Linked DNA regions of Lytechinus pictus. The protein of the gene in region 2 purifies or fractionates together with the protein of the main gene of each other region. This does not show direct contact. Links are inferred from orthologs where the notes say so. Each region holds a gene or a part of one and is shown on either strand. Other genes may lie near its edges. The genes, in order: gamma-tubulin complex component 6-like and protein NEDD1-like.

Region 1 (17,205 bases), about 52 Mb from region 2:
TCAATTTCAAAAGGGGGGTACATCCCGGGGTATATCTCGGCTTCAATGGCATTTTTACATTACAAATTTTTAATTTTTCTTCTCAAGGGGGGGACGTCCCCCCCTGGATCCGCGCCTTGTCGAAGTTGATTATTATTCTACTGTCTCTGACTTCCTGTTATTTCTGAGAGTTATTTCTTTCTCTATCGTTCATTCAAACATGATAAAAATTGAAGGCAAAAATAATTGGAAATAATGAAGCCCACCAAGCTTTCATGAAAAACTTTTTTTCTTTTGTTAATGATACTGCAGATCCATTAACCCACATTCGCGAACATACAATACTTTTATGGATTTTAAACCATTTCTTTTGAAAATAAAGTTTTCTCTTCGAAACATCCCGATCACTTGCAAATAATAAAGAGAATCTTCAACATGTCCATGTTATGTTTCATGAAATAAATCCTCGCCAACAAACCGTGTTATGAATTTTGCGTTTACGTATGACTTTTTGCGCGATTATAGACAAGCTATACGCTCTAAATCAGGTAGGCCTATTAATCTATCGCTAACGCCCCCGCCTGGTACCAACTACCATTATCAAAAAAATAACCCTTTAGAAGTTGAATCCCGTTTGTTAACTTTTGTCAAGAAGCCCCCTTTTCAATTTCAGAATACGTATTGAAAGCGATGCTTTTGATCTTTCTTTTGAAGCTCATTGAACCGATCGATTGATCGATCGAGCGGCCGGTCGGACGCCGCCAGCTGTACTCTAGTTTAAATGAATAGCCAATCAACAATGGCGTACGTTGCTAGGGGCGGAGCTTAGTATGAAGCAAAATTCGATCAAGTCGAGCGTGCCGAGTATCAGAAAATTTCGAACTGACCGAAAAAAACACTCGCAGAAAAACTCTTTTTTTATCACTTTCCCGTCATCAAATTCACTCATTTTTTTCACAGAGTAATCATGAAACATGGAAGAATCAGAAAATGAAAAAAAAAAAATCTTCAAAATTTCGACTTTTTTATTAGTTCGTCAAATTTCTAGGAATTTTGATTTGCGACTTCTCTCTCATTTCGGTATGGCCGATCACATATTCTCGGAATCACTGACCTTGACTGCAAAAAGTCTGTTGCCACGCAGGTCCTGGCCTGGCTCGGCCTCAAATATCTGGTTGAAAAAAAAACACATTGAATTTTCTTAAAATCAGTAATAAAGAGTGCAGTGCTGTTTAAATTGATCCAATGCCATGACATCAGATGCCCCGTTGATTAGTCAGACTATACAGAGTGTCCCAGAAAAAAAAGGAAACCAAAATTTATTGTTGATTTATCATAACTTAATTGCAAACAATACAGACAAATGACCTATCATAAAGCTTAGAATCTCCTCTTTCATCTGGATATTTTAAATGATTTTTCTGGTAGAAAAGTGATTAAAAATAATCTGAAGAAATACCAAAAATTAATTTGCCAGACGGAATATGAACTTCAAAAAGAAATCACATGCCTAAAAAGTTCCATACCTGCTCTTTAATAAGTAGGGATGCCAGTTGGAATTGATCAGAGGGCCTGAAAATCACCTATAATACAATATTTTGTACACAAAAATGATAAAACTATGGCCTGAAAATAAATGGCCAGAGCCTGAATTCAGGCTTTTGCCTGAAAACTGGCATCCCTGAATAAGATATGTCCATCAAAGAACATGATCAAGGAATAAAAGTTTTGTTTCTTTAAAATAATGCTTGAATTTGAATAATTTATTCAAAGAAGACATTTTGCAGGCTAGGAGTCAAACTTTTTCAACACACCATTTTCTTGACAATCAACCGCACTTTGTTAACCATGCAATAGCCATCATAATGGTGACCAGTCCATGAAAACGCATTTGTTTAAAGAAATTTTGGAAATGCAAGTCCTCTAATAGACTTGAAATGATACCTTGTTATCAAGTAGACTATCATTGTTGGACATCTCTGACATTCCACTGTCATTAGCAAACTGATCGATACTTGGACCTTCAAACAGTTCCCTAAAAGACATAAAAAAACAATAACAAAACCGAGTGTTAATAACTAACATCCACAAAAGGTATACCTGTAAATGTAAATTATATATTCAATAATTGTACTAGCTTAGTGCTCAACTTTATAGCATACCATCCCAATGTGAAGAAAAAAAACCCTAGAAAATAAAATGATTTCCTACCCTGGGGAAAAAATACATATTTGAGGCACAGCAAGAAAGAGAGCAAAACTATGGCAATTGGTAGAGTGCAAACAAAATACACTGGTACGATTTACTTTTAAAAAGACAAGGTGGTTCACAAACCAAGAGTCTCGCCTGATTTCGTGATCAATAAAGCATGAAAAAAATGACCTTTTGACGTAAAGATGGACTTTGATGTAAGCTTTGTAGGTATATATATGGCAATAAATGAACAATTAAAATTTATTTAAAAATAACAAAATGAAAACATGCTTTGATAATTTGACCTTTTGACCATTTAGACAAACTTTGACCTCATCATCTTCAGCACATAAAATGTGGTATTACCCAAGGATCAGTTGTACCAAGTATTAAAACAACTGATGCATAAATAAAGCAATGACAGCAAGTTAAACAAAAAAAATTAACATTTTTGCAACAGACCAACAGACTAAGGAAAGTCATTACTACATGTAGGTCTCTGCTGAACTTCGTTCAGGTGAGACAAAAAGGTGGTTTGAAATCCTGGTTTATACTGATTTCATGCATTGCTCATGCTTAATTAAATATAGGAGCCTGAAGAGGCGTCCAATTCACACATTAATAAATAAATTCCACGCCTGTCACTATGTTTTGTCACCTTTTAATGTTTACGTATTTCCACTCTGTATATCAGCTGTGGGTTGGTCTATATGGAGATGCACATCTTTGTTTTGTTTTGTTTTCTTTTAAATTGAATTTGAGGTTTAATTATTTATTCATTCATTAATTACAATTTTGTTTACAATCCCGGTAACTATTAATAGTTAAAATATTAAGGGCTTAGAAACATCTCTATTAAGCGTCTTACATGCGATTATTATAATTATAATAATACCTTGAATAACTAACAAATGGTCGATGCTCATCACATCTATGAATGTGTTTGCCATCACCATGAAACCAATCTCCTCCTGGTAGAGCAGCAATATCCTAAAAAAATATCAGACAAAGCAGCATGTCATATGATTTATTCTATTAATATTATAATTATTATTATTATTATTAAACGTCATCTCTACTGGCTAAATGAGGCATAAAAATTTAGTAAATGAAACGTGTTTGCTCCAAAGAGGATGCGGAAAAGGTAAATAGTCACTGTGAACTTTTAAGTTCTTTGGTCTAATCAAGGACAATGCTCAAGACAGACAGAAGAAAAAGGAGAGAGTATCATCATGATGCAAGAATCAGGTAACCATTTGTAACAGGATAAATGCTTGAGGAATCAAATAATTTGCGGTGAATTTCTGTGTTTTACAAAATTAATAAAATAGAATAGTATGTCTTTTTTATATCTCATATATGTTTAGAAGTTCAACCAGAATTTAAATGGTGAAGGAAGGCATTTTTATTCACCTTTATTTCACAGTTCATTTGTTTATTATTCATTAACATGAGCTATAAACATTCACAGAATTATCTTTGCATAGGCTTGTTAAAAAATACATTCAAGAATCTGTCACAAATTATCAGGGCCATTTCACACAAAAGATAAAATCAATTGTACAATCATCTATGGGCATTTTCACGGTAACTGACATTACACGGCACAATGTTTTCACACCTTTCATTGTGTGTATCTCTAAAACAACAAATGATGGGAGTTTGGTTTTGATAGAGTTAATAAAGTGAACCTTGCTGTATACTCTGATACTAAGTTTTCCTATGTAACCACATTTTTTTACGCCTCAGCAAGCAAAAATGTGTCGGTAACTGACATTACGCAAAAGGACATGCAATTTCAGGGTGTTCATTAAAATTGAAATATCTTATGTCCCTGAGTACATAGAGTAATAATTTGAATATGTAAATATACCTCCATTACTAGGTTAAGATGTGTCAAAATATTAAACAATTCGTTTTTGTCTTTTGGGGACTATGATAATTTTTCCACAACCATGCTGGTAACTGACATTACGGTAACTGACATTACACTTAATTTGCCATAGAGATAACACATGGAAGTCAAATGTGTGGAATCATTGCATTGTATCTTCTGTGCAGGGCTTCACATGAAAGTGAGCTTGATGTGGAAGTATACCCGAGTTTTTAGGAACATTTCAATGAAAAAACTTTTTCTTTTTCTTAATTCCTTTCTTTGATCTGAACATTTTTATCATTACTTGTCGGTAACTGACAATATACACATTAACATTTACCAGTGCTACATGATTTTCAAAGACATAATTTTCTTGGTACTTATATGTAAGGCTTTTTAAAATCATAAAAGTTTCATAATACTTCACATTTTTAATTATCCAAAGATAAGAAATGTATGTTTTACTTACTCGGGGGGGGGGGGGGGGGGGTGGGGTCATAGCAGCTACATGTTTTTCTATAGTAATTTAATATTGCATTGACTGTACACATGGATTTTTCTGATTATACACCCATAATATATTCATCAGTTTTATATTGACTTTTTAAACCTTTTCCTTCTCCAACCTCCCCCTCCCCTCAAAAAGGCAAAATGAATAAGGGTCTCCTCCCCTAGGCTACATGTACCCCTCCCCCGAATCTCATGCAGCCATGTAGTTTTATTGATTTCTATTCTGGTCAGTGCAAGCAATGCTTGTTCATATCTGTCGGATTTCAATTCTCTTCATAATTTGTTTAATCATTTTCTTTGCTAATTTCTTTTATAAACTGTCAACAAAAAATAAACTCCAGCTTCTAAACTGAAACTGAACTATTTGTAAATTGGAAAAAAAAAACAGTTTTAGTAGATCCATGCAACATTGATCAGAACTGTCAAATTTCACTTTTCATCTATACTTGTAAACCAAAAACAAAATTGTATCACACATCCACACTACTAACAGGTATAAAAAATCCAGGAATGTACTTTTAGCGAGGCAATGCTCAAAAGAATCCTAGAAACTAAAAAAGGGACCCTGGAAATCCCCTTCATCAAAATGTTAAGCTTAAAAAATGTTGCAGATTTAGGCAATAGATTGGAAAAAGTACCCCCTACCCCCCCCCCCCCCCCGAAAACCAAACAAAAAATTGTCTGATACAAACAATTAGGTACTTGGTAAGTACATGTACAAAACAATTTCATAGTAATTTTTTTTGCACAATGGGAATGCAACTTCCTTCATAATTTCATATAGTATTCCTTGTGAACTATACCTTTTAAAAGTAAATAGCAAGCTCCTTCTGGTGTGACTTTTAAAGTGAAAGACTTAAATAACAAGTATACAATATTTCTTCACCATAAAATTTACCACATATTTGCATTTCAATATTGGTAACCAACGTTTTATCATGGTAACTGACATTACATCTCGGTAACTGACATTACATTTTCCACTTGGTAACTGACATTACATATATTTAATGGTACCCTATGGCTTCATTGTTGATTGGTAATCTTTAATTTTGGTGTAGAAGGGAGGGGTGTTACCTAGAGAGGAAATCTACCAAGTTTCATATAATATATCCTCTTTTCCAGGAAATGAGAAAAAAAAGTTCATGTTTTCGGTAACTGACATTACATACCATATCACATACTTCATCAATGTTTTTTTATCAGATGAATGAATTACTGGTGTTTCTTTCTGAGGGATTTTAAAAAGTGTTATAATAGCAAGCTAAATCACAGGCGAAAACATCATGATCAAACCTGTTCTTTAAAAATCTGTCAAAACAAAATATGTATCAATATACTATTTTCAACACTAATTTGTATCCATACTTTGGCAGCCATTTTGAAATAAAAAATGGCTGCCAGAGTCGGAAAAAAATTTTGTCTCAGAAACTTCAGGTCTTGTTTTATTAAAAAACATAAAGCATTTGACATGAATATCAACTTGATTTTTTTGCCTCTGTGTCCATCTGTGGTGAAAATGCCCCTATAGCAAACCATGTATTAAAATTTACAATAAATTGTATCTCTTTATGTTCCCCTCCTTGAGGACTTATCAAAACAAGACTTGAGCTTTACATGTATGTATAAAGCAGGGCTTCACGTACCTCTTTGGAAGTCAAACCAACAGTAGGAAGATTTGGTTTCTGGTGACCAATTACAGCCTTGTGAGAGGACTGCTTGGTTCCTGATAGTGCCAGAAGAAATTTAATAACTCCCTCCAGGAATACACTGTCTTCTTCTGCTAATGAAAAAGAACACACAGCAACAAAATTTGTGAAAATAATTAAGCTTTAGGTGAAATATAACGTATGACATGGATCACATTCGCAAATGCTTTAGAATATCTCAGGATTCATGTGAAAATTGATATGATAGATTTTATTTAATATTGTCTATTCTTGAGTGATTAAAATGTGAAAAATCTATGGCAATTTGTATACAAAACAGTGTGCAGTAATTGTCAATATAATGGCAAGGAGAGCGCATATGATCAACCAGAAACCTTCCAACGGCTCATCTCATGAGTGGTGATTCTGCAGAGCTCTGAAATCCTGGTGGGACAGTCATACCAACAAAGCTGACAGATGGTATGTCACTGGAAATAATATGATATCTTTGGTCGGTCTGGAGTTGGTTCCCCAGGTGTGACTGAAGCATAACTTATGCTACAAGGATGCAAGAGTTGGATGTTGCTTACCGCTCAACTTTGAGAGGCGATCCAAAATCAACTCCATTTGCTGTGCTTCGTCGAATCTCCTCTCCACACGAAGCTTGAAAATGATGATGACAAGTTGCTCCTTGGGGGAGTAAATCCCAGCTGCATTGCTTCTGGCTGAACAGCTGTGTTGCAGGGGTCCAGGGAGACTTCCAAAGAGGGAATCGAACAGTCTGGTCTGCAATCTCTGGCGAAACCTGGCGATATCCTCGGCATCTTCTCCCAGGCGGATTGGACGAGAGGATCCCAACGTGTCACTAACAGCTCTCCGAACAAGATCCTTAAAGAGTTGCTGGGGGGATGTGGGGTCAAGGGTCACCATTTTCTTGCAGGGTATTTAAGTTTATTTACAAGTCAATCAAGCGAAGGACAAGAAGACCTGTATTTTTAAGTACAATGAAAAAAAATGTGATAGCTTATTAATTGTGTAGCAAGAAAGTTAAATTCATCAAGAACAATAACATAGTCTCAATGGTCACAAGACACAAGTTCTTCATTCTTTACAATTTCTTCCCGAAATGCCCTATCTACCATCCATGTCAATCTGCCCTTCAGAGCATTCTTGTCCCCTTTTGAATCCCATGGTTCTTAAATAGCATATGGCTATTTGCGGTAAGTCTATAATTAGTAACCATAACGTTGATACATGTATACTTAAAGGAGAATGAAACCCTTGAAACCAGCTGAATCCATATTAAAGAGAAAAATCAAAGAAACATATTGTTGAGGAAGATTGAATGAATAATAAGAAAGTTATGAGCATTTGAATATTGAGATCACTAATGTAATGTAGATCCTCCGATTGGCAATGCGGCCACGATCTGTGATGTCACACACGTACAACTCCCTCTTTACTTTAGTACTTATTTCACTTATATTCTCACTTTTATAGAGTCTATCACAAGGTGAGGTGTTCTCTTTATGAGAGGACAAGTACAGAGGTTTCACAACATTATATCATTGATGAATCGTTTGTCATATAATTAGAATGAGCAAAAAGAGATGTTTTGGGGTATATTTTCAGTGTCCAAAAGGGGAGAGTTGTTCATCTGTGACATCATAGATCTTGGTCGCATTGCCAATGGGAGGATCTCCATAGCATTAGTGATCTCGACATTCAAATGCTCATAACTCTTCTATTGCTAGTCCTATTTTACTCAAACTTTTGTTGATCTTATTCTTTGATTTTTCTGCTTTCACAAAAGCTAACTTGCTCCGAGAGTTTCATTCTCCTTTAAATTACAAATTGAATGCTATTATTCCCGACATTATGCAAAGTAACACGATTAAAAGGCATGAGAGGGCTATATTTATATATTGACTGGTCTTTAGGGAGACTAGGGAGGACATATATCCCTAGTCATATTGCCAAAGGCAATGAGCAGGAATTATATGTGGTAACTCCCAATAGTAATGCCAGTCAATATCATTATAATTATTATTAATTATTACTTGTTTCCCAGCATATAGCACTTTATGTATATCGTCTATACAATTAAAGCAAAGTTAATGCATGCTGCAGTCAATAAAATGTTGAGTACTTGTGGAGACTAGCAAGTAATGCATGTAATTGTTAGCGCAAATGTCAATTTATGCACGCTTGAATTTGACCATAATACATCCAAAATAATACAAGTATGAAAGTACGAACTTTTATCTTGTCTCAAACATGGCTCATTCAGGTAATAATATAGCTAATATGCCCAGTAATCCTAAAATCAGCAAGAATCCTAAATAAAAAATAGAGTGAATCCTGAATAAAAAATAGAGTGAAGCACAGGTACAGAATGGCTAAAGAGCGGAAGTATAGAACCATATACACTCAAATGTTGACATCAATAGCCCCGCTCTAGTGGTAAAAGCGTCAGGTCAAAGCTCTATGCTGCACTGATGTACAACTTGCATGGGTTTGAATCCTGCTCAAGATCCTTCTCTAGTTAGCTTTGCTTTTAGAATAATTTTTTTTTTCAGTAAATGCATTGATAGGCCAACCAATGAATAGCATATTTCTTTTTAAATCAATACTGACTTTCAACAATGACAAACAAGAAACTTAGCTTCATGGTTTTATTTAGTCAAATATGGAATTACATATTTTTTTATTAATACATGTACCAAGCATTTCCCTGCTCTTCAAGACCACTCTCCACTCTCAAGGCCACTTTCACACAGTTTAAAAATATATATATCGATCACATTCACTAAATAAATCTCACTATACATAATAACCTGTCTTCAATCAAAGACATTTTAAGTGCGATTTATTTCGTCAGAATTAATGACACTGAATAAATATAACCTGCTCGCCAAAATGGGAACCAGTAAGTCTATGGAAAATTTTCCATAGAGTTGTACACACTCGTTCCCATATTTTTGATCGCCATGGAATTTTGAGATCGCGATACCAGCAAAACCCTTGTCCTTGACCTAGACCTCTACTTTATTATAATTCCGTCAAGCAAATTTGACTTAGGGATCTTGCCTTTGGTCTGGTATTCATGATTTTGATTAATTTTGTGTGAACTGTGAGAAGTTTTTGATTAAAATCAACTTCATGATAATTTTTTTAATGTGCGCAAATTATGGTCACCCAATCATACAACTGAGATGCAATGCACCCATGGGTGCCCCAGGCCAAAGCCAGGCCAGGACCAGGCACTGTTGTGTCCCCATGATGGTAAATTACCAATTCGTCTACTGCCAACTCGTCCAGGGTGACCAGACGTCCAGTATTTCCTGGGGATCGTCCCATAGTTTGCTCCTTTGTCCCGGCTCCCGAAAAAACCCTTCCCGGAATGCCTATTTGTCCCGATATTTCAGAATTTTGAACAAAATATAATTAAAACATTTGAAAGTGACGAATTTTTCATCAAATAACCAACAGATGACGAAGCAGAGATAACAATAAAATCGATAACTATAAACTTTTGCAAGTTCTGCTGTGATTTTCTTGCTAACCCAATACATTATTAACGAACTGGCCTCCCTACTCTGTGTGGCAGGCTACTAGCTAGGCATGTAGGATCGGAGCAGATTCTCAATGATGCAAACAATCTCACATGATAAACAGTTTTTCCACCAAAATAATCATATAAATATATTATGGATTCTCAGATTACTGATTTGGTGATGAACCGGAGGAACAAGTTATAGAGTTTTCATAACTAGATCTAGTTGTTTCATCTTTCCTTTTGAGTCAAGTTTAACAAAATAACAAAGTTATTGAATAATTTTGAATTTTAAAATTTATCAATATTTTGTGAAAACAGTCGTCATAAATATTCATTAGGTGGGCTGATGATGTCACATCCTCACTTGTTCTTTTGTATTCTATTATATGAAATTAGGTTTATTCAAATTTTTTCCTCCAAGAACTAGAAAAATTGGATTGACAACTGATTTAGTGCATTAGATATTTATTGCTGCAACTTATTTCATTATAAGGGAGAGATATTTATTATTATTCACACAAGTATGAAATAATGAAAAAATTTTGATTTTGTGTAATAACATAAGAAAACGGAAAGTGGAGATGTGACATCATCAGCCCACCTAATGAATATTCATGACGACTGTTATCACAAAATATTGCTAAACTTTAAACTTCAATAACTTCATTATTTGGTATTCGATTTTGATGAAATTTTCGGTATTTTGCTCAGTGAATTCTACTCTATGAGTCACTCACACTAGTACGAGGTTAGTATATATATATATATATATACTAACCTCGTACACCGGACCGTGTTTGACCCTGGATTTCGAAGTAGTCGGCAAACATCGCTTCATTGCTGAAGTAATATTTGCCGAAACTCCTTCTCGCTACTCAGGGCTCTTTCCGGTAAGTAGCAATACATTAAAAAATTAAAAATGTAATTTGAATATAATAATCGGTCAAAAAGAGCAAATTTCGCTTACCTCGGCCTGGAAAGTGACTTCGCTTGTCTCTTCTACGGAAATACAAGGAAGCCCGTTGGTGGCGCTAATAAATTTCACAACCTTGATTCAGCTCCTCGGTAATTTTATAACTGTGTCTAAATTCTTTGAATGCGCAATTCTCATGATTAATTTACTAATTATGGGCACCAATAAATGAAATACCTTCAAAAACATAATTCAAGATTATTATTGGCGATGATAACACTTTTTTGCAATTAATTTAAAACGATGACTAATAAATAAAAATTGAAAAAAATATACGTGCCTGGAACGGAACCAGCAGTACAGGCTTTAACGAACGTCAATAATACGGTATACCAATGTCTATACAATAAAAAGATTGGACACTTGACGGACTTTGCGTAATGCCTTGCGTCGATTTGCGTGTAAAATAGTGTAGGTGCCTAGTCTTTCCCTTGTCGTGTGTCTTTGATATGATATACATCGCGCGCCCTCTTTAGGCGAAAATTGATATCCGCACCGACATATTTTTATCTCCGTGAAATCTTCACTAAAGATCAAGAAAATATATATATTTTTTAAAAGAAACTTCAAGGAAAAGTCACGGAATGATCTAAATGATTCGGTAAGTGTCAAAGGCAAGCAGAATGTGAAATACCGGATTATGCGCGATGTTTTATGTGGGCGAAAGCCCAGTAGTTTATGTCTGTATTGCGCATGCGTGAGGAGTGGACGTCTCTCATTTTGTGCTCTCATTTTTCTAGAACAAAATTTCGGAAAATACATTTAAATCTGCCCAAAAGAAGGAATTTATCCTTGCATATGTCTTTTGGCACATTCATATGCTTCAAGATTGATTTTTGGTAAAATCTGGCAGCCTGAAATAGCTAAAACTGAGGTGGAAAATTTGGCGTGCCCGTGGCTTTCAGGAAGTCAATCCCCAGGGTAGCCATCGTACCGATCATACACGTGTCGCAGCCGCCTCATCCGCCGCGATCGAGGGACGCGTACTTGCACCGATTGGCCAAGACCAAGTCACCGAGCTGAGAAAGAAAAAAAAAATAAAATAAAATAAAATCTTGAAGGATGGATAAGATTCAGAAAACTCTTTCAAAAATATCACCATTCGGAAAAATTAAAATCCGAATAACCAAGATCACGAGGATGGAAATGAAAGTGAATTTGAAGATGCAAGTCAAGATATTATAGCGAATGAGGCCACGGGCCATGACCCGGATGTTGATATCACCAACAACGTACGATTAGATGATGGAAGGAATAACGCAACAAAACAGAGATCGAAATCAACTACAACTGGATCTAAGAAGCAGACTAAGGTGAAAAGAGCAATATCATACTCTGAATCGAGTAAGCAAGGCAGAGAGACTGGCAAGACTAAGGGAAAAGAAGTAGGACATGCTGGTGCCGGAAAGAAAGAAACAAGTAAGAAGCAGAAACACAGGCAAGTCACCCATGGCCATGTCCATGACATGTACAGATGTGAGTACTGTGATGATGAGGGTATGTCGCACATGATTGAATGCGAGGCATGCGAAAGGTGGTCGTGCTTATCTTGTCACAATTTGTCACTGGACATGTATCACTTCTTTACTAATGACAAAAATAGAGCACACTGGTTCTGCAGAGATTGCGAAGAGATTGCAATTGAAGCAGCCAAAGCCAGAATAAGATATAAAATCACTTCCAAGAGTATGTGCAAGGATGTCGAAAGTGAAGTGAATGAAGCTGTCGGGAAAATTCTGAAAAAGGCTCAAGATTCAATGAAAGAGATGTTGGACGATGGCGTGAAAAAAATCAAACAGTCATATGCTGATGCATGTAAACAGTCTGTCGGCAATGTAAATGCACAGGGATCAAAGAACAAAATCACTATACTTCAAAGACCTAATGTTCATACTAAGAAAGACTCCAATATCAACAATGGCAATGCTAATGTCAATGAAAAAGATGGAGAAGAAATAGTCCCAAGATATGAGATAGGGAATGTTGTGAGTATGACTACAATGGAGGAATTAGTAGACAGAGAAAGACGAAAGAACAATGTCGTTTTCTACAATGTACCTGAGTCTCGCCATGACCAAATACATGACAGAGTAGCAGAGGATATGAAAGCAGTTATGGACATTACAAGGAGTGGTCTCAATGTGCACAACACCAAGATAACCAAAGCAATTCGACTGGGAAGGAAGCAGCGTGACGATGCCACGCAAGAATCAACATCAAAACCCAGAGCTCTACTGGTCCATTTAGAGAGCCCACGCATGAGAAACGAAATCCTCTCAGCCGCCAAGAAACTTAAACAAACTACCAAGTGGAAAGATACGTATATATCACCGGACATGACAAGGCAACAACGTGAGGAAAATTGGAAACTAAGACAAGAACTGAAACAGAGAAGAGAGAATGGGGAACAAGATTTGGTGATCCGTCAAGGCCAGATTGTCACTAGTTGGAAGAGAAACCAGTCTAGAAAAGTAAGTGGAAAAAGCGACAAAATAGAATTCCAGGAAACAGACATTGGATCAAATCTCCAGGAAAAAGTAACCCCACAACCAACTCACCAACAGACACACCATAGAAACGATGATAAAGATAGCGATATGGAAAGTGAAATTGAAGTAGATGGAGTCTTTGGAGCAGTGGGTGGAAACCGTCATAGCCAATGACTCGGAGACATGAATGGAGGACCAGAAGCAGAGATTGTGGACAAAAATATGGAGTACTTATCACAAAACAAATTAACGGTCCTCTATACTAATGCAGACTCTCTATTGAACAAAATTGAAGAGCTACAAATTTCTATTGGAAAGCATAACCCAGATATAGTAATGATATGTGAAGTAGTTCCTAAATCAGGCATCTTAAAAGTGACAAATGAATTACTTAAACTAGAAGGATATGAGATCTTCTCAAACATGGATAAGGAAAACTGCCATAGGGGTATTGTAATCTACATTTGCACAAAACTCAAAGCACACGAAGTTTCATTCAACATCGAATTTACCGAAAGTGTTTGGTGCTCTGTTAAGCTGAAAGGGAGAGAAGGACTTATGGTTGGATGTATTTATAGAAGCCCCTCTAGCTCAATAGAAAATAATAAGTTACTTTGTGAACTCATAGAGTTGGCCAGTGAAAACAGAGAGAAGCATCTTTTGATAATGGGAGATTTCAACTTTCCGGACATCAACTGGAAAAGATCGCATGTAAATTCGACCTCCAATAATACATCGTACATGTTTCTCACTGCCACCCAGGAAGCATTCCTGCACCAGCATATATATGAGCCTACACGATATAGACATGGCCAAAATCCAAACGTTCTGGATCTTGCATTTACATGTACAGCTGATGACCTAATATCTTCAATTGATTATTTACCTCCACTTGGACTTAGTGATCATGTGTGTATACTGACCAAGCTTGACATACTTCAGGAAAAAGACAAATTGCCAGAAAGAGAAAGTCGCCCAAACCTCCAGAAAGGGGACTACAATTCCATGAATGAGACTCTTGAAAAAATTGACTGGGATAAGGATTTTACTGGCAAAACTTGTGAACAAGCTTGGACCTCATTGTTTCACAATATAAAAGAAGGTGTGGAAAATTATGTACCAGTACGCAAGTATATTTATGTATCAAAAGCTATACTTAAGTTGTCTAAGAAGAAGACGCGTTACTGGAAACGATATTCAGATGTGAACAGGACCAGAGACGAGAGAGAAATCGACTACAGACAGTATAAACGAGTGAGGAACCAATTAAGGAAAGAAACAAGAGCAGCAAGTAACAACTTTGAACTCGACCTAGTTGAAAACATTGGCCATAATCCCAAAGCTTTTTGGCGTTATGCTAACAGCAAGGTAAAGAGTAAAGGTCGTATTACAAGCCTCATGAAGGGTAATGGACAACTTACTGAATCAGATAGTGAAATAGCAAGTGTTCTTAACGATCATTTCTCCGAAGTATTCACTAGAGAGGACATGGACAGTATACCGGATATACAAGTTCCTTTGCGAAGTGACCTACCCACGCTAAGTGAAGTAAAAGTACAAGAGATAGATGTCAGCAAAAAGTTAAAAAACTTGAATACAAATAAGTCACCAGGACCAGATGGGTTGCATCCTAAAGTATTATATGAGCTAGCTGAGTCCATTGCTAAACCATTGACATTAATCTGTAACAAGTCTATGCAGGAAGGTAAACTCCCATCGGACTGGAAGCAGGGAACTGTAGTACCAATCCATAAGAAAGGGAGTAGAACCCAAGCCTCAAATTATAGGCCTGTTAGCCTTACGTCCGTTGCAGGAAAGTTGATGGAGAAAATTCTTCGAGATGTTATAGTTACACACTTGCTAAGAAATGACCTACTCACACAGAGTCAGCATGGATTTACCCCAGGAAGGACGTGTGCCACTCAACTTCTTTATGTTCTTGAGGAATGGTCAAGGTTATTAGATGAAGGTGAAACAATCGATGTCCTATACCTTGATTTTCGGAAGGCATTCGATAGCGTTCCCCATCAAAGGCTCTTACTCAAGCTAAAGGCACATGGTATAGAAGGTAAACTCCTGAACTGGATTAGAGCATTTTTGATCGGAAGAGTACAAAGAGTCTTTGTTAATGGAGAATCATCCGACTGGTCACCTGTTACAAGCGGAATTCCGCAAGGAAGTGTCCTCGGACCAGTCCTCTTCTTGATCTACATAAATGACCTCCCATCTGACGTAATAAATAGCAGAGTGGTATTATTTGCTGATGACACGAAACTCTATAGTACTGGAAATACACCTTCACAGACGAGTGGTCTTCAAGACGACCTGAATTACCTTATTGAGTGGTCTGAGAGATGGCAATTACCCTTCAATGATGACAAATGTAAAGTGTTGCACATCGGCAGGAGAAACCTTGGAAAAAGCTACCATATGCATGGGAAAGACTTGCAAGTAGTGGAAGCCGAAAAGGATCTCGGTGTAATAGTGGACTGTCAGCTGAAATTTCACCAGCATGTGTCATCAGCAGTTAGCAAAGGATACCAACTCCTCGCCATAATGAAAAGGACATTCACTCAACTCACAAGGACAACTCTGCCTCTGCTCTTCAAAACCCTAATAAGACCCCACCTTGAATATGGGAGTATCCTCTGGCATAGCAGATTCAAAGAAGATGCAAGGAGGATCGAAAGGGTCCAAAGAAGGGCAACCAAGCTGGTCAGAGAGCTGAAGAACGTCCCATATCAAGACAGACTCAAAGAATTGAACTTGTACTCCCTGCTGTACAGGAGGAGAAGAGGAGACATGATCTTCGTGCACCAGCTAATGCATGGACTTATCAATCTCCCTCTAGATCACTTCTTCACAAAATCAGTAGGCAGATCAACAAGGGGACACTGCCTGAAGCTTCAGAAAGAGCACTGTAGACTGGACATTCGCAGCAAGTCTTTTAGCAGAAGAGTGATAGATGATTGGAATAGCCTCCCGGAAAGTATAGTCGTCTTGCCAACAACAGAATCATTTAAAAGGCATGTAGATAAACATTGGTGGGATCATCGCTTTGATCTACCATGACTCCCACTCCTCAGCATGCGTACAGTAATAAACTCACCAGACTAAAACCATAGATGGAGTGACCGGGAATTACAGGCCACCGCCTTCTTCCTGTACTAGATGATGATGATGATGATGATGATGATGAATGATATTCATATATGGGTGTCTATGAGTATGAGTGAAGATATCCAGACCCACTCACACAACATGCGAGGTTAGTAGACCATCCCGACGAAATGGTGATTGGACGAAATGGCAATTAGACCATGTGGATAGTGGACGAACTGATGGTAGACCGAATGTTAGATCTAGAAGATTAGTTGGCAATTAAAATAATTGGCATTAGATCTAACAGTAAGCTTGAAATAAACCCTCATAACATTGACACCTCTCTCTCTTAACTGATCCCTCCACTTCTTTGGAGATTCCTGGAGTCCAGATAGAATGTAAACGTATGTAATCACAGATCCGTTTTAGGTTATTTCAAGAGACGTAGAGCGGGAGGTATGGATTTTGTGGAGAAAAAAGAGGGATAGTAGGAGTAAGCTATTGTGAACTTCGGATGACAAGCAAGGATGGTAAGATAATAAGGTGGCACAAGTAAGTTGGTGGGGGTCATCACTGTCATAGAGGTTGTGACAGTATGTGTGGTCTACTAGGCACTCCTTAGCTTTGTTGACAAAATCCACACGTAGATGGTTGAGATTTGGACAGGCTGCAACAAAATGCTCCACTGTTTCATCCGCAGAGTTGCATAAGGGGCAGATACGAGTAGAGGATTTCTTCAAAGTGTATAGACGACTTTGAGTTAGGTACGTACAGGACAGTAGTTGGGCTCTAACTATAATTGCGTGACGAATTGTAGGTGATATAGAGTACTTAGGATATAGGAGGTTAGCAGAAGGTGGGACCTTGTCTATCCA
Region 2 (17,210 bases):
AAATGCATAAGCAGTTAAATCCATTAATCACTTAAAAACTCTTCTGCAAATAATAGTCTGTAATCCTTAATATACAGTCTCTTAAATGACATGTGATCATGGCCAAATCTGTTGCTATAGTATGTGATTTATAATAGTTATCAACTTATCAAGACTTCAACTCCATAATTAATAGAATGGACTGGCCTAGAAAAGTCATTTAATTAAGGCTGGCACAAAAAAATTTATTATCTGTCCCGCTTTTGTTAAAGACATACACAACTTCTCTGTCCTTTCACATTAAATTTAGGTCAACTCTGCATCACCCCTTTTATATCTCCTTGCCAGATTAAATTTGGGGATCACGTAAATTTTTTGGCTGGTCAAAGTACTTTCAAATGAAGAGTTTGGCTGCATTAGGTCTTGATGTTTCAGTGTTATTACTAGACACTAATAAATATCATCAAGATGTTTCATATCACTTACCCCAACAGCAAGCTCAATAACATTTGCTGAGAGACTCTTCCCATAGGAGAGCACAATCTTATCCCCAACTGACGATGCACTGGCTAAAAGCTGATGTGATGATATAACAAACTGTCAAGGAACATTACCAAGTATAAAATAGTTACTTCTCAGATAACTATAATGCTAGTATCATAGTATCATACACACCAAAATATATGAGCCTAGGTTAAGTTAAACTGAAGATATTGCATTTACAAGGACTGCAGAAGGGTGAGATGAAAACACGTCAATGTGACCTTGACCTTTTGACCTAAAAATCAATAGGCTTCCTGGGATCCATACTGGTATCATCCACACCAAATTAAATGAGCCTAGGTTAATTTAACTGAAGTTATCACGTTTACAGAGACTGCAGAAGGGTAAGATGAAAACATGTCACTGTCACCTTGACCTTTTGACCTCAAAATCAATAGGCTTCCTAGGATCCAAGCTAGTATCATAAACACCAAATTGCATGAGCCTAAGTTAGGTTAAAATGAAGTTATCGCGTTTAAAAAGACTGCAGAAGTGTAAGACGAAAACATGTCACTGTGACCTTGACCTTTGATCTCAAAATTAATAGACTTCCTGGGATCTATGCTAGTATCATACACACCAAATTATATGAGCCTAAGTTAGGTTAAAGGGCAAGTCCAAGAAAAGGTCACCCGAGAAGGCAAAATTTCATCTTTAATTTAAGAAGTTATTTTTGGTGGGGTAAGAAAGCCCAAATAAATTTTAAAATGTTATTAAGAAAAAGTTGATAATATGCATATTTATGCTAATTTGGGGCACCTAATTTGCATAAATGGTAAAATGGGCGTTACGTATAGGACAATTATACAAACTCATAAAAAAAAATATAAAAAAAACTTGTGAGATTTAGTCATAGGTGGGACATGGACCCCATAACATCTTATTACTTTTGGGGGAAAAAAGTGGTGTCATCTAATTAAGTATGCAAATAAGGTCTTGTCCAAAGATGGAATGTCCCATACGTAACATTTTAAGGATTTTTTTTTTGTTATTTCTTATAATACAATACTTGTAATATTGCATCTCTGGGAAGTTCTAATTTATTAAGTATGAAAATGTTGTACCACAAAAAGTTTCAAAAATATAGTTTACTTTTAATTTAAAAGTTAATTAAAAAAATTGTTACGTATGGGACAACATGTTACGTATGGGACATTTACACACAATGTCAATGGGGAGATTTGTGTACAAAGTGAATGGAGAAAAACAAATTTCAAGAGTGCTCTAAAAATTGATTATTTACCTTTTCTTTAGTTTTTAGAGACTGATTTGTTATGAATACTGATCAATAAAAACAATCGAAGTGAAAAAAATTGTGAAAATTGAAAAATATGAAAAATATAAAAAACAATAGAAAAACATAAGAAATTCTTGAAATCATGAAAAACAAGAAAAAAATTGTTGAAATGGCAAATTTCTTTTTCAGTCATATCAAATATGTCTCAATAGAATATTTTAAAAGAAAAAAACTCTTGTTATTTCCATATTTTAATTGTTGAAATTATGGGGAAAATTGTGTACGTTCTCTATGGGGACAAAATGTCCCATACGTAACATGTCATTAATTTGTTTAATTAGAGTATGTAATTAGAGGGTTTTAGCTTATGACATGAAACTTGCCTTAGATATACTAGTGTTGTGACTTCTATCACACTAAGTTACAAGTTGTCAAATGAAATACTTTCAGAGAATTCTCAACTTGGAAAAAATGTTTTAAAAATTGTCTTTTTTCTGCGTCCCATACGTAACGGCACATCTTTTCTCTCTAAAAGGACAAGGTAATATGTCACCATTTTTTGCATGATTATTCTTCTCCTAGATGTCTACCATCATGATGGTATTACATCTAATGAAAGTCATTTAACACTATTTTTCAGGTCATTAAAGTCTCTGAAATGTCCCATACGTAACACGCACAAATTCTTGGACTTGCCCTAAAATGAAGTTATCGCATTTACAAGGACTGCAGAAGGGTAAGATGAAAATATGTCCCTGTGACCTTGACCTTTTGACCTCAAAATCAATAGGCTTCTTGGGATCAATGCTTGTATCATACACACCAAATAATATGAGCCTAAGTTAAGTTAAACCGAAGTTATGGCATTTCCAAGGACTGCAGAAGGGTAAGATGAAAATAGGCGGTGCTGCACCATCCCGAGTTTGCTCAATCTCGAGATTTTAGCCCGATCGGCCCACTTCGCGATTAATCTCGAGATTCAAGAAACCCCGTCTCCACCATCGCAAGAAGAGCGATTCCTGCTCGGGCGAGGCAACAAGCCCGATATTCCGAGCATGCGCACTTTCGGATCTTGGAGTTTCAACAGCCCGCGCTTTTGAATAACTTCCCGCGATATGCAAGCAATGTACTCCTTTCACTAGCATTTTCGCCGAATTCGACCGGTGTTAAACAACAATCCTCTCAGCTCAGCGAGTGAAGAAGTGATGTATTCTTCGTTAAATATGATGGCGGAGTAGGAGGCAACGACAGAGAGAGAGAGAGAGGGAGAGAAGGAGGAAAGAAATGCTATTTGCTCACATTTTGCGAAGGAATAAGACGACACTTCTGTCAGTGTTGTTATTGAATATGACCATCGTCGATGAGCGCCTCCCCCTTCGGTCTGGTCTCTCCCAAAATCCATTCACTGGTGGGACACCATCGTTGCTGATTAGGCAATTGATGAACGCTATTCGCGATAATATCTATTCGCATGTATAAAGTTGACTTTCGCACGTGTTTATGTTTTGACCAAGGCGGAAGTGGAACGCGAATTGCATTATGGACTGACGTCATGAATAAATTACCCCGAGTCCAATCTCGAGTGCGTCTGCACCTACGAATTAGCGGGATAATTCGTAAAATAGCGCGCTATTTTGCAAATAAACCCGAGTTGACTTGGGATTGCAATCTCGAGATTAATCCTACGAACTAGCGCGATAATTGCGTCTCCACTGCAAACTATCTCGAGATTTTTCAGATCGGGATAATTTGCCGGATCAGAAATAGCGCGCTAATTTGAAAACTCGGGATGGTGCAGACGGCCCTAATATGTCAAAGTGACCTTGACCTTTGACCTTTTAACCTCAAAATCAATAGACTTCCTAGGATCCATGCTAGTATCATACACACCAAATTATATGAGCCTAGGTTAAGTCAAACTGAAATTATCGCGTTTACAAGGAAAAGTTAACGGATGAACGGACACCGAGTGTGACACCATAATATGTCATATAGGAGGACTATGAGGCGCCGATTGTACCAATATTATATAGAACAATTATTTGTTATATAATCATTATTTATTAAATAATAACTATTATTTATATATAATTTACATTTTATTTGTAAATAAATACTATTATATAAAATAACATTTCTAATTATTTATATATAAATCCAAGTAATACTTCATTATTTGTAAATAATACTAGTTCGACATTCCATTATTTATAAATAATGATTATTTGTTTTTCATTATTTATAAATAATGATTATTTGTTTTTCATTATTTATAAATAATGATTATTTGTTTTTCATTATTTATAAATAATGATTATTTGTTTTTCATTATTTATAAATAATGATTATTTGTTTTTCATTATTTATAAATAATGATTATTTGTTTTTCATTATTTATAAATAATGATTATTTGTTTTTCATTATTTATAAATAATGATTATTTGTCTTTTATTATTTATAAATAATGATTTTCGTTTTTCATTATTTATAAATAATGACACTACATACTTCATTATTTATAAATAATTGCAATTTGTTTTTCCATTATTTATAAATAAGTTTTCTATTATTTATAAATAATAATTATTCATTAACAATGCCAGTGCACATTTCTTTATTTATAAATAATTTGTTGAGTTTCCCATTATTTATAAATAATGATTATTTGTTAAATAATGAAAACGTCTACTTCATTATTTATAAATAATTTTTTCGAGTGCGCCATTATTTTCATTATTTATAAATAATCATTATTTAATGTTCGAGTTTTCCATTATTTACAAATAAAGATTATTTGTTAAATAATGAAACATCTACTTCATTATTTATAAATAATAATTTTGTTTCAATATCCCATTATTTATAAATAATCATTATTTATAAACAATTTTTACAGTTTGCCATTATATACAAATAATAATTATTTATATACAAATAACCATTATTTATTAAATAATGGAAAACTCGCTATAACATGCAAATGTGGGACCGCCCATGATATGAATATTCATGATGCGATTTCCTTTTTCGTAATTTTTCTTCACAAATTTTTGTCCGTTTCCTCTTCATAATGGCATTTCTTGAAGCAATTTTCTAGGGATATGGTCTGATTGTAATATTCTTCATTTTCTATATAACTTCGTCTTCGCAGAAATATCAAAAAGTGTAATTTTATACGATTTTTCCTACAGTTCACAATCCCCGTAGGCGCGCGTGTATTTCACCTTTTCTCTCTGATCGTAGGAACAACCCAAGGGTTCATTACATGTTGTCGCGCACAAAAAAATTAAGCCATAGAAGTTGCGTGTTGTGGACACCAAAGTGAGATCCCAGCACGCGAGACCCACTTGTTAGAAATCCACTGAAAAATGCGGTTCATGGTGCGACCTTAGTATAGGGTACCTCGCAATACGTGTGAGTGGGAACAACCGGTGAATCGACAAAATGCTCTTCATCGAAATATTACGTTGGTTGGTCCCCGGAACTGTCGGGCGGAATTTAGCCCGAAATCCGGATCCTTAATGGAAGTGGATCAAGTGCATATGAGCTGAGAGAGTGAGTGTAAGTGTATCAGGCCCTTCTACTTTCTAGAATTTTTTGTTTTTTTGTTTTTGTTCTCCCAAAAACGCTCACAACGACAATACGGGGGCATGATGACCCCTAAATTTTTGAAAACTTATTTTTCTATTGAAAATTATCACAAAATTCACCAAAAGTGTGCACGAAAGCCTTCATATTTCACTTTTAAAACTAAAAAAAGTGCCCAAATGACAAGCTTGGTCGCTTCGCTGTGTCGCTTTCAACTTGAGAACGAGTTTACACGCATGCTCCCCCCCCCCCCCCCCCGAAAGAAATTCTGTGTACGGCCATGCTAAAAAGAGCCTGGCACATTGATTTATATATATGTTATTTTATATAATAGTAATTATTTACAAATAAAATGTAAATTATATATAAATAATAGTTATTATTTAATAAATAATGATTATATAACAAATAATTGTTCTATATAATATTGGTACAATCGGCGCCTCATAGAGGACTGGCGTATAAAAATAGAAGGAAAAAATTAAGTTGGTTTTTGGTGAGGCTAGTTTACACAAATATTAGAAAAGTACACTGAATTTACAAGCACAGAAAGCAATAACACGTTTCCATATTCCAATTCAGCATATAATGACGTCAAATGACAGATCTCTCCTTGACTCTCTTTGTCTTCTGTTCTCTGTCATGCTTCTTTTGACCTCCTTTATCATGCTCATTATTTCTTCTTCTTATGTTACCATTCTAACCTTCATCTTCCACTCATCAGTAATAAACTGGGTTCCAAAAGAAACTTATCAAACTTCACAAGTGCACTACACAAATTACACTCAGTCAAAATGAACAAAATTCTGACACAGGCTACTTTCAATAATCTTTACTAAGCACATGTCAATAATTAAGAGATTGGTTTAATCACAAAGATGCTTTAGCCCCTCAAATCAATTGGTTCCGGAATCCAAAGTCTAGAAATTGCAAAATTATTGAAATTGCAGAGGGTGCAAACACCTGTGCAAGGCTTATATTTGGTTCTACGAAATATACATGCATCACACCAATACTAATACCTTGGTCTTTTTCTTTTATTCTTTTATTCCCCCCCCCCCTTTTTTTTAATGATACAATATCTTGTAAATGTTTTGATTGCTTGTGATTGTTTGTGATTTGTTTTGATTTTTTTAATAAAAACATTATAAAAAAAAATACTTATACCTTGGTCACATTTGCTCTACGGCGAGTCGAAAACAGCAGTTTTATCAATTTTAATTCAGACCACCTATATGTAGTTGGTACAAAAAAATGTTAAAACGGCTGTTTTCAACTAGCCGTATGGCCGCCGTAGAGCAAATGTGACCAAGGTATAAGAAACCTACATTGGTTGCCAATATGGCAGAGAATAGCATTCAAAGTCTTACTAATTGTATACAAAGCACTCCTTGGTCAAGCTCCTAGCTACATTACAGAATTATTGAGCAGTAATCATGGTTGCAATTTGCGCAGTTCAACGGATCCTCTGCTTTTACAGATTCTATCCTTCAAAAGTAACACTAGGTGATCAAGCATTTGCTTGTGTAGCCCCCAAGCTCTGGAAGAGCTTACCCCTGGAAGTTAGGAAAGCACCATCCATAAACAATTTTAAATCAAAGCTCAAAACACATCTATTTAATCAATAACAAGCTTTTTAGGAGTCCTAAATAGCGCAGTAGAATAATACTTTATGGAATAGTTTCTGCGCTTTATAAAATTATATATTATTATTAATATTATTAAAAGACCAATGAAAATGAGATGGGATTAAAAGAACTTCCCAGTTTTTTAAAGTTCACAGTATGACTATCGCCATATTTAATTGATTGCCTCAATAACTAAGAAGTTACAGGAAGTTAAAATCAACAGTTTAAACACACCTATTGAGGTCAAAGAAGCATACTGTATGAATGGACCATAGCAGTCAAGCAAAGAATGACCATTTGGTTTAATCTCATCTCATTTTCATTGGTCTTTCTTTTGCCATTTTGTGACTTTGGGTTGATGAACCAATAGATTTTAGGGCTACAGCCTCTTCGTTATTAAACCAATCTCTTTATTATTGACATAAGATTAGTAAGGATTATTGAAGCTAGACTGTGTCAGAATTTTGTTAATTTTGACTGGGTGGAATTTGTGTAGTGCGCTTGTGAAGTTGTAAACCCAATTTACATACATGTACATCATCCATTGAAGACAAAAGATTGCAATCCAGCATACTATTAAAACTGCTGTTTAAAGGCCAGTGAAGGGAAACTTTGGGTCACACACATGACCATTCAATTTTTCATCAATGAGATTGCATTTTAATGATATCTTAAATATTACCACTTAATAAAATTACATTCTGAAGAGATACTAAATACAGAGAAAGTGGAAAACATGGGTGGCAGTGCTCATCAATTCAGGCCAGTCGAGCTAAAGATGAATAAAGGATATTGTTATGACTCCAGCAAAGGCTTGAGATTGGACCTGCATGTGGTGAGAACTGTTGTTGAGGAGCAGAGCTTGAGAGATCCCAAATCTTTACATCATCTCCACCAGAAGCAAATCTCACTGGTCCCTCCTCCATTGTCAATCATCAGAAAGGATTACAATAATCTGGAACATAAACTTAATTCTCAGCAAATATTCCTACAAGATATATAAAAGAAAAGAAAACATCCATTTCTTTTGGTGGTGAAATTGGTGGTGATTTTTTACCTGATTGCTAAGAAAGCATTAATGCTTGTAAGCAAGCAACCAGAGGACCGACGGCTTAAGGTCCTCTCCGAAGGACCTGGTACTGAGGATTAATGCCTATACCAAAGGGCACTAGCGCACCAAGTGGGAATCAAACCCGGGTCACCGAAATACGAATCCCCGCTCTACCGACTGAGCTATCGCGCCTCCCGCAAATGGTAAATACACTGTAGGTACATACAAGTGGAACGCTTCTGGCAGTCTCGCCTGCATTACGCAATTCAACATTCATATAGCAGCAATGCTGACTATAAAAACAACCAAGATGAATAATAATTCATAAAAAACACCATTTATATGGTAATGTAATAGTTCATTGACCATAAATTTGTTTGCTTTGTTTTGTTTGCTTTACTTTTATTACTGTGTTACAAATAATACAATATAGAATATAAAATATATTTCCATATGCAATATACAGAATAATCCATATTATCATCTATATAGTGTTCTAGCGATGCATTAAAAACGCGTATTTTGGTCTGCGTCAATTGCTTGTGCAGTATCAGAGCGTATCCCTAAAAAAGACCGAAATCCGACGAATATCCCATTGGCTCCTGTACAAAATTTGCTATTGAATATGAGAGCTTATTAAACAGTTTAGGGCGCATGAGCGAAATATACAACGCGTACAACAATGAAAGCAATGCTATGCGCAACATAGAGCACAACTAAGCTCGATGACGTCATAATAAACTACATGTCAACGACCAAAATTGATCCTACAGTGTGTATGAAGTGATAATGGCATAATGTGATATGACTTGTTAAATCAAATTGCTCCCTCTTTTTTTTTTTGGGGGGGGGGTTGGGATAGATGATAATAATCATATTGGATGGCTTTATTTCATGAAATAATCAGAAATATTCCACTCGTTAGGGCCAATATTCCACTCACCTGCGATCCATGGAATATTATCCCGAACTCTTAGAATATTTCTGGTATTCACTAGAAAATCACAGAAGGATAAATATGTGGGAAAAGCGGCTTCATATCATTCAGTAAGTTTCCTTAAAAAAGTTGAATTGATTTTAAAAAGTCTACTCCAGTCGTAATTAGTCATAAGCTTTAAATTATGTCATATTTAGGGAAAGGCCAGTTTGGCCTTAAAATATCTCATATTTTTTAGGGTACCAAGGCCACTACAAAGGGCATTATGCAAATCAATATAGCAGCAGTGCTGCCTTTGAAAACAGCTAATGAATAATTATTCAGAGAAGAAAACACATATATGATAATAAAATATTATGTCCATTGACCCAAAATGACCTTTGACCATGATCATGTGACCTAAGACATGTGCAAAACAATCATTCATACTTGATTACCCTTACATGTATGTCGATGTTTCATGAGCTAGATCCATAAACTTTCTAAATTAAGATGCCAATTCAACACATGGGTGATTCCTGCGTCATGGACTATACATGTGGACCAATTTTTCTGCTTTAACTTTTAAGTGGTATATGTTTCTAAACTCTGCATTTTGGGTTTGTTAATTGATTTTTGCAGCTGGAGCAAATTTTTACCTCTCATTAATTTTTTATGGGAATCCATTGCTAATTATTACGACAGGTATTATGCAAATGAGCGCCATGCCTTACATTGACGAGTGGATACCATGCGCGACCAAAAAACACACGTAAAAAGGATGTCTTTTTCAAGATAGGGCACGTTACGTACGTAACGTAATAAGGGTGTCAAAAACACTAAAATAATGAAAAAAGGGTATCTTTTTCGCTAGGAAAGCTATTTAATTTTAGGGTCAAATTTGCGAGGGTATAGAAAATTAAGACTAAAATGTTTTATAAAGGATGTACTTTTTGTCCGAAGAGTCAACACTACGTGTTTAGAGTACGATTTGCGCGAGGTGAGGGAGGTGGGGCTGGACTAAACCCAATAGGTAAAGGTAAAACCGACGACCGACGTCTGTGACATAACAATTGAAATATCGCTGTACTTGTTTTGGGGTTCAATTCAGTGAATACTTGCCAAGAGTATCGTTTTGTTTCCAATACTTGTTAAGGCAAAGGGTAGGGTTTAACACGCCAGTAATTGTTAAGGGGTACATTTTCAGTATATGGAAAATACCTGTTTAGGGTGCTTTTCGAGACCCCATAGTCGCGCATGGTATCCACTCGTGAATGGAAGTGGCCCCCGGGGTGTCATGGACATTACACAGAAAACACACGTTTTGCACACTATTAAAGTTCAACTAAAAAACTCTCTGAATTTAGAGTTCATTTTAATTGCAAAGCAGTATAGTGTTAACGGTTAGTTAACTCTACACGAATATGAAAACCAAATTTCAATAGTATCTTTCACAACTTAGGCAGGTTAATCATAAGAACGTCATGGACACTTTTTCGTCATGGACATTATGTTCCAATTACTAATAGTCTCTTCTAACTTTTTGCTAACTTAAAATGATGCTATGTTCACTTGTCCACTGCAACCATCCTGCCTGTGGGGAATCTACAGGTAGGACTATGCTATGGTATGCCAATGCTGTACAGAGCACACACTTTAAAAAATCATTAAAATATCAACTTTTGTGACCAAAATTACTAATTTCCTTACAGTAGCAATTTATTTTTCATAAGTAACTTGGGAATAATTTTCGTATTCACCAGAGCGCTCAAAAACTTGAATTTTGGGCATATTTTTGTGTACGCCCTCTATTGGTGGAAAGTATGTATGGCAAGAAAATTTTCATTTTTCAATCTCTATTTTAAATTAAGAAAAAAATAATTTAAAGAATCAAATTTACTGAAGAGCCAAGTTGTATGATGAATAGGTGTAATGGAAACTGTCAGTGTAAGAAAATCAAGCATTTGTCCCAAAGGAGAAAATAAGCCAAACATTGCCACCCTTATTTTGCCTCACATGGAGATACAACACTCAACAGAGAACAAAGTTATATCATAACCTTGTTCATTGAATGAGTGGCTATGTTGTCCCACTCATCCTACGAACGAGGTTATAATATAACCTCGTTCTCGGGTGTATACACTAGCATGGCAAAAAAAAACATAGACTATTTTCCTCCCCTTCCCTGACCCCAAACATCATGACCTTATCGAACTAGATCAAGTGTGATACTTGACATAAATTTATATGATCTAATTGCTGAAAATAATATGAAAAATGACTAAAAGCTCACCGATTTTTCCACCTCCGGTGACCATCACTACTCTTGGTTCGTTCAATGGTGTTTGATCGTGACAAATCGATAAAGAAAAAAATATTACGAAGCCATAGAGTTTTTCCACCCGGATGGATGAAACACTACTCGTGATGCATTCTGGTAAACATGTCTCGATAGCCTCGACAGATTGGCAATTTTGTTTCGTCTAGATAAACATGTTTAAAGAATGAAAAAGTCCAAAAACTCCAAATGGCTATTTTTGGGGGGCTTATCTATAATATTTCTAGTACTATATCAGAGCATCATTTGTCTGTTTTCCTCTTCCCTTAATACCCTTTCTTTCTTTTTTCTTCTGAGCGTAATTGAATTCTTTTGATTTTTGATTTCTTCTTTTTTTCTCAGTCTTTGTTCTTTGTTTCTTTCATTCTTTATTTCTTAAAAGACTTAAAGGGGAATGAAACCTTTGGAACAAGTAGGTGTGTGTCGAAACAGAAAAATCAAAGAATAAGAACAAAGAAAGTTTGAGCAAAATCGGACAAATAATAAGAAAGTTATGAGCATTTGAATATTGCAGTCACTAATGCTTATGGAGATCCTCCAATTGGCAATGCGACAAGAATGTGTGATGTCACATGTGAACAACTTTCCCTTTGACGGACTATAAAATACCCTCAAAATGTCTCTTTTTGCTTTTACTTATTGTGATACAAACTCTTTATCCATGATGTATCCTTTAAAAATCTGTATTACATGCCCTCCTCTAGAAAGAACACATGATCTACTGATAGATGTGATAAAAGAGGCAATTTAAGGACGTTCCACAGTTAAAGTGAAATCCATGTCATTTACACCGAACTTTGCACATAGATACTTAAGAACCTTAATATTCGAAATATGCAAAAATTAACATAGATCCATGAGCTTGATTTTTTGCTATAGAGCTTCAAAGTTCACCCAAATTGATGTTCTTAAGAATTGCGCATTCAAAATAATTTGGCATTTTTAGACCTCGCAAGAATACTACAATGAGTTTAAACCTCTATTACTCAGTCAAAATACATGAAAAAGTCATCAAATTTCGCAAGAGAGTTAATAATTGTATCGTTAGAATGAAGAGTCTATTTATAGTGCTATTTGTTTGCAACTTTAAGTCTAACAGCACAGTCAGTTCTTAAAAATGGCGTAAAAGATAATAAAAACCCAATCTCAAAAATGTGAAATTTCAATAACAGACTACAAAAGTACAATAAATGCTGCACTTTATTCAAAATCCATGTCATTTTCACCAAAATGTGCAAAGTTGTAGAGGAAGCTATACATAAGAGGTACAAACATTAAAAAATAGGGGTTCATGTGCTTGTTTTCAAACTATCAGCATTTTTATTAGAGCAAATGTGCTTTTTAAAACACCAAAAATGCGCCAACTGCTTTGTATCTATGTGAAGAAAAATCAAAACCACTCTACCATTTATTCAAACTCAGTACTGCAGAGTAAAGTATTTTGAAATAGTAGAAATATTTTTTTAAATGATCCATGGAATAATTCAATTTTTTTAGCTTCATAAAATAACGCATCGGATCTGCAGTTAGGGTGCAGATGATGAGAAAAATCAGCTCATACCCACAGCTAATTAATCACCTGTTCATCCATTGTGACGTCAGCGCGCAGTGTTAAATATGCGCAGATCATAATGCGCACAAACATAACTGTGGAACGTCCTTAAAGGAGAATGAAACTCTTGGAGCAAGTTAGCTTTTGTGAAAGCAGAAAAATCAAAGAATAAGATCAACAAAAGTTTGAGTATAATAGGACTAGCAATAGAAGAGTTATGAGCATTTGAATGTCGAGATTACTAATGCTATGGAGATCCTCCTATTGGCAATGCGACCAAGATCTATGATGTCACAGATGAACAACTCTCCCCTTTTGGACACTGAAAATATACCCCAAAACATCTCTTTTTGCTCATTCTAATCATATGACAAATGATTCATCAATGATATAATGTTGTGAAAACTCTGTACTTGTCCTCTCATAAAGAGAACACCTCACCTTGTGATAGACTCTATAAAAGTGAGAATATAAATGAAATAAGTACTAAAGTAATGAGGGAGTTGTACGTGTGTGACATCACAGATCTTGGTCGCATTGCCAATGGGAGGATCTACCATGTCTACATGGCATTAGTGATCTCAATATGTTTCTTTTATTTTTCTCTTTGATATGGATTCAGCTGGTTTCAAGGGTTTCATTCTCCTTTAAGTGAAATATATACTAAAGTAATGGGGAGAGTTGTTCACAAGTGACATCACACATCTTTGTCGCATTGTCAATTTGAGGATCTCCATAGCATTAGTGATCACAATATTCAAATGCTCATAACTTTCTCATTATTTGTCCGATTTTTCTGAAACTTTCGTTGACCTGTTTCTTTGATTTTTCTGTTTTCACACAAGCTATCTTGTTCCAAAGGTTTCATTCTCCTTTACGGGGAACTCTCCCCTCATCCTGAAATTTAAGGGGTATTGAATGTGTACCCCCCCTCCGCCGCCTGTGACAACAATAATTCTTAGAAAGTAAAAAAGGGGCCTAAGCTTTCGATCCTAGCAGAATCTTCGTCGGAGGCAAAATGACAAACATATAAAGTGGAACAACCATAATATAGACCACAAACAAGCTACAGCAACACTAGAAACAAGGAGACAAAAGGGGCATTAGTGAGTAGAGAAGACCAATCAGGTTAGTGAAGGGGATGAAAGAAAAGGAGTAGGCAGACACAAAGGGAAGTTAGTGTAAGTAAGGCCAAGAGGGATTAAGATAATGAGGCAGGCAACAAAAAACAGGATCTGGAACAAAACAGTGATAGAGGGATGAATAACTAGAGAATTAGTGAGAGGTGGGTCAAACAGGTTACAAAGAAAGGCATAATAAACTGGTGCATAAGAGTGGGGGGAAAAAGGAAAAGAATGGGGAACAACTGATAATGTGCAAAAGACATATAAGTATATATGATAAAGCATTAAACAAACTAAGAGAAGAATGTAAGTGTAAATATGTATCTATAAGTGATATGTATATAAATATATCCCAAAAAGAAATGTATATGAAAAAATATAAATACACATATGGTGTAACTGATATTGTAATCCGCTAGGTGTGACGGGAAAAAAACATAGGACTATACAGTAGGAAAAAAAAAAAAAACCCTGTATATGTGAAAAAGAGGAAGCAAATTGCCTAAAAAGGTAAAAGCAAATATAGAAGAGAGGGGGTGTATTATGAAGAAACCATAGTATACATGTAAATAAGCAAATGTGGTAAATCTAAAAGAGGTGAGTGGAGAAAAAAAAATATATATACAGTGTGTCCCACAAAAAACGAAACCGAGATTTATCGATGATTTATCATAACTTAATCACAAATACAATAGACATATGACCTACCATTGTAAAGCTTAGAATCTCTTCTTTCATCTGAAATTACTTAGATTATTTCTCCTTCACGCATAAGTGAGCAAAAACAATTTGAAGAGGGGATACCAAAAAGTCATTTGGCGGGCTGTATCTGGGTTTCAAAAAGAAAACCACATTTGTAAACAGTTCAATATCTGCTCTTTAATTTGATACCTCAATTACAGAAAATGGTCAAGAAATAACAAAGTTCTGGTTATTTGAAATAAGGCTTGAATTTTAATAATTTCATGAAATAAAGAGGTTTTACAGGCTAGTGTTCAAACTCACTCGACACTCTGTTTTGTTGACGATCAGCCATGCATTAAGTCTTTTGTTAACCATGCGATAGCTTCTGTGGGAAACCGGTGAAAACACGGTTATTTCATGAAATTATGGAAATACAAGCATTATTTCGAGGGAACATAACTTTTTTACTTCTTGACCATTTTTTGTGATTAAGGTATCAAATAAAAGAGCAGATATTGAACTTTTTAGGCATGTGATTTTCTTTTTGAAATTCAGATAACCCCCCGCCAAATGAGTTTTTGGTATCCTTTCTTCAAATTATTTTTGCTCACTCATGCCTGATTGAGGAATAATCTAAATAATGTCAAATGAAAGAGGAGATTCTAGGCTTTATTTTGGTAGGTCATTTGTCTATTGTATTTGTGATTAAGTTATGATAAATCATCGCTTAATCTCGGTTTCGTTTTTTCTGGGACGCACTGTATAATAATTATTATATCGCCTGAATAAGGAAGGAAAAATTGGAGCTGAGCTTGTATGAGATATGGGAGGAAAGTAGAGGAAGAAACTATAATGTAACTATTCAAAAGAGCTGAGGGGAAAAATGATATGTATAAATAAATTGAAAGTGGATAGGAAAGAATAATCAGTCGTTCCCCTCTTGGATGTTCAGGCCATGAGGTTGGGTGGTGCGAAGTCGTCTCATCCAGAGCTTCTCTCTGCTAGTACGGACTGAGTCAGGACGGGTACCTAAAGATTCGATGCCCTGTAGCATCATGTCAGTGAATTCTTGTGTAAAAAAAAATAAAAAAATAGTGAACAAAATATTGAGTGTCAGGCAGTGGCGTACCCAGGATTTTCCAAAGGGGGGGGGGGCAAATTCGTCTGTCAAAAAAATTGACAAGAAAAAAAAAAAAAAAAAAAAAGTTTTCAACAGCAAATAAAGGACATTTTGCACTAGAAAAAAATTTGACGAGCAAAAAAGAAAAGGTCTTCAAGTTCAAAAGAGGGGGCCACTTGTGGCTCGTCAGGGATCAGTTGTGACTCGTCAGGGGGGCAGGGGTACGTGCCTTGCTGGGGTTGTGACTCGTCAGGGGGTGCAGTCTGCCCCCCCCCCCCCTGCCCCTTAGGTACGTTAGTGGTGTCAGGTGAGAAAAAGACTAGTCCCCGGATCACGGAGCTTCCTATTATTATGCTTCACCGGAAACAGGTAGGAGCTTTAATATTGTAACCAGCTCTGTGGTCGCCACTGTTCAGTGGCTAGCTTTCTTTTATTCAGCACAAGAGGGCATGCTGAGATACTTACGTAGGAGACTATGGACCAGACGAGAATAAGGACAAATTTCCTTATGATTTTACCCGATTTTAAAACAAATCTTCAATTCAAGGATGATATTTGACTCATTGGACATTGGAATCCTGTTTAAGTAGAACCAAAATCTGCGTTTGGGTCAACACAAGAATTGGTAAGTCAGACTCTTTTACTTCGCGCGTTCCTACATAGAAATGACAGTGTTAGCGGCACTGGTCTCAGATCAGTCCCATCCCGTACATTTTCCTGTATGGCGAATGGTCGGGGTGAACCAGTGTGTTGTCCCTTGGCAATTCTATGTGATGCAATTACACTTCTTAAAAGTAAAAGCAGTAAATCCATTATATTTATTATATCATATCCTTTATTTAGCAGCAAGATTTTCTATGTCGTTCACAATGGAATGACTGATAGAACAAGAGATGAAAAGAATACTTGACAATTTGTAAAACTCATGAAGACCCTGAATGCTTATAATAACAATCTTAGTCATGGAATTGCTTTTTTGCTCTCTCAAGTATTGAGAGTAATAATAATTATTTATAATCACATATTAAATTTTAGTAGATCTAGGCCCTATTTGTTTAATAATAATTTTTATCTATAAATTGTTAATAATATAATATCTCTAGAAAATTGTTACAAAAATTTTCGAAATGACGGAAAAATAGACGCAACTTTGTGAGAAAAAAAATCATGTAACGGGTGGGATAACTCGGCCCGCGTTCCAAGATGTCCCGAGGTCCGAGTTGTCCCGACCCCATTTTGAAGAGTACCCTCTGCCTAATATTACACCGACGAGTAGCTCCCTTGGTTAGCAATAGCCAGGCGGCTTCTAGAGAGTAAAAATCATTTACTAACGTAAGGTTACTCTCATACGAAGCCAGGGCTTCTATCTCATAGACCCACACAAAGGAAGCCAAAACCTGAAACTTTCACCCCCGAGATTTCTACTTTCCTTCTAAAAGATCTAGACCT

Evidence for each region.
Region 1: the proteins of protein NEDD1-like (region 2) and gamma-tubulin complex component 6-like purify together in Homo sapiens (affinity purification with mass spectrometry; 3 studies listed by BioGRID and IntAct, with this or other methods). This does not show direct contact. The link is inferred for Lytechinus pictus from reciprocal best matches to the Homo sapiens genes NEDD1 and TUBGCP6.

What each region holds. Positions count from the first base shown.
Region 1 is NC_087247.1:26,630,004-26,647,208, reverse strand, and holds the start of gamma-tubulin complex component 6-like, read right to left. Parts: upstream 7,203-17,205; 5' UTR 7,138-7,202; coding exon 6,798-7,137; intron 6,342-6,797; coding exon 6,205-6,341; intron 3,163-6,204; coding exon 3,068-3,162; intron 2,015-3,067; coding exon 1,924-2,014; intron 1,151-1,923; coding exon 1,094-1,150; intron 1-1,093. UniProt on the Homo sapiens protein: Component of the gamma-tubulin ring complex (gTuRC) which mediates microtubule nucleation.
Region 2 is NC_087247.1:78,938,997-78,956,206, forward strand, and holds the start of protein NEDD1-like, read right to left. Parts: upstream 7,966-17,210; 5' UTR 7,903-7,965; coding exon 7,770-7,902; intron 577-7,769; exon of another isoform or gene 561-576; coding exon 466-560; intron 1-465. UniProt on the Homo sapiens protein: Required for mitosis progression. Promotes the nucleation of microtubules from the spindle.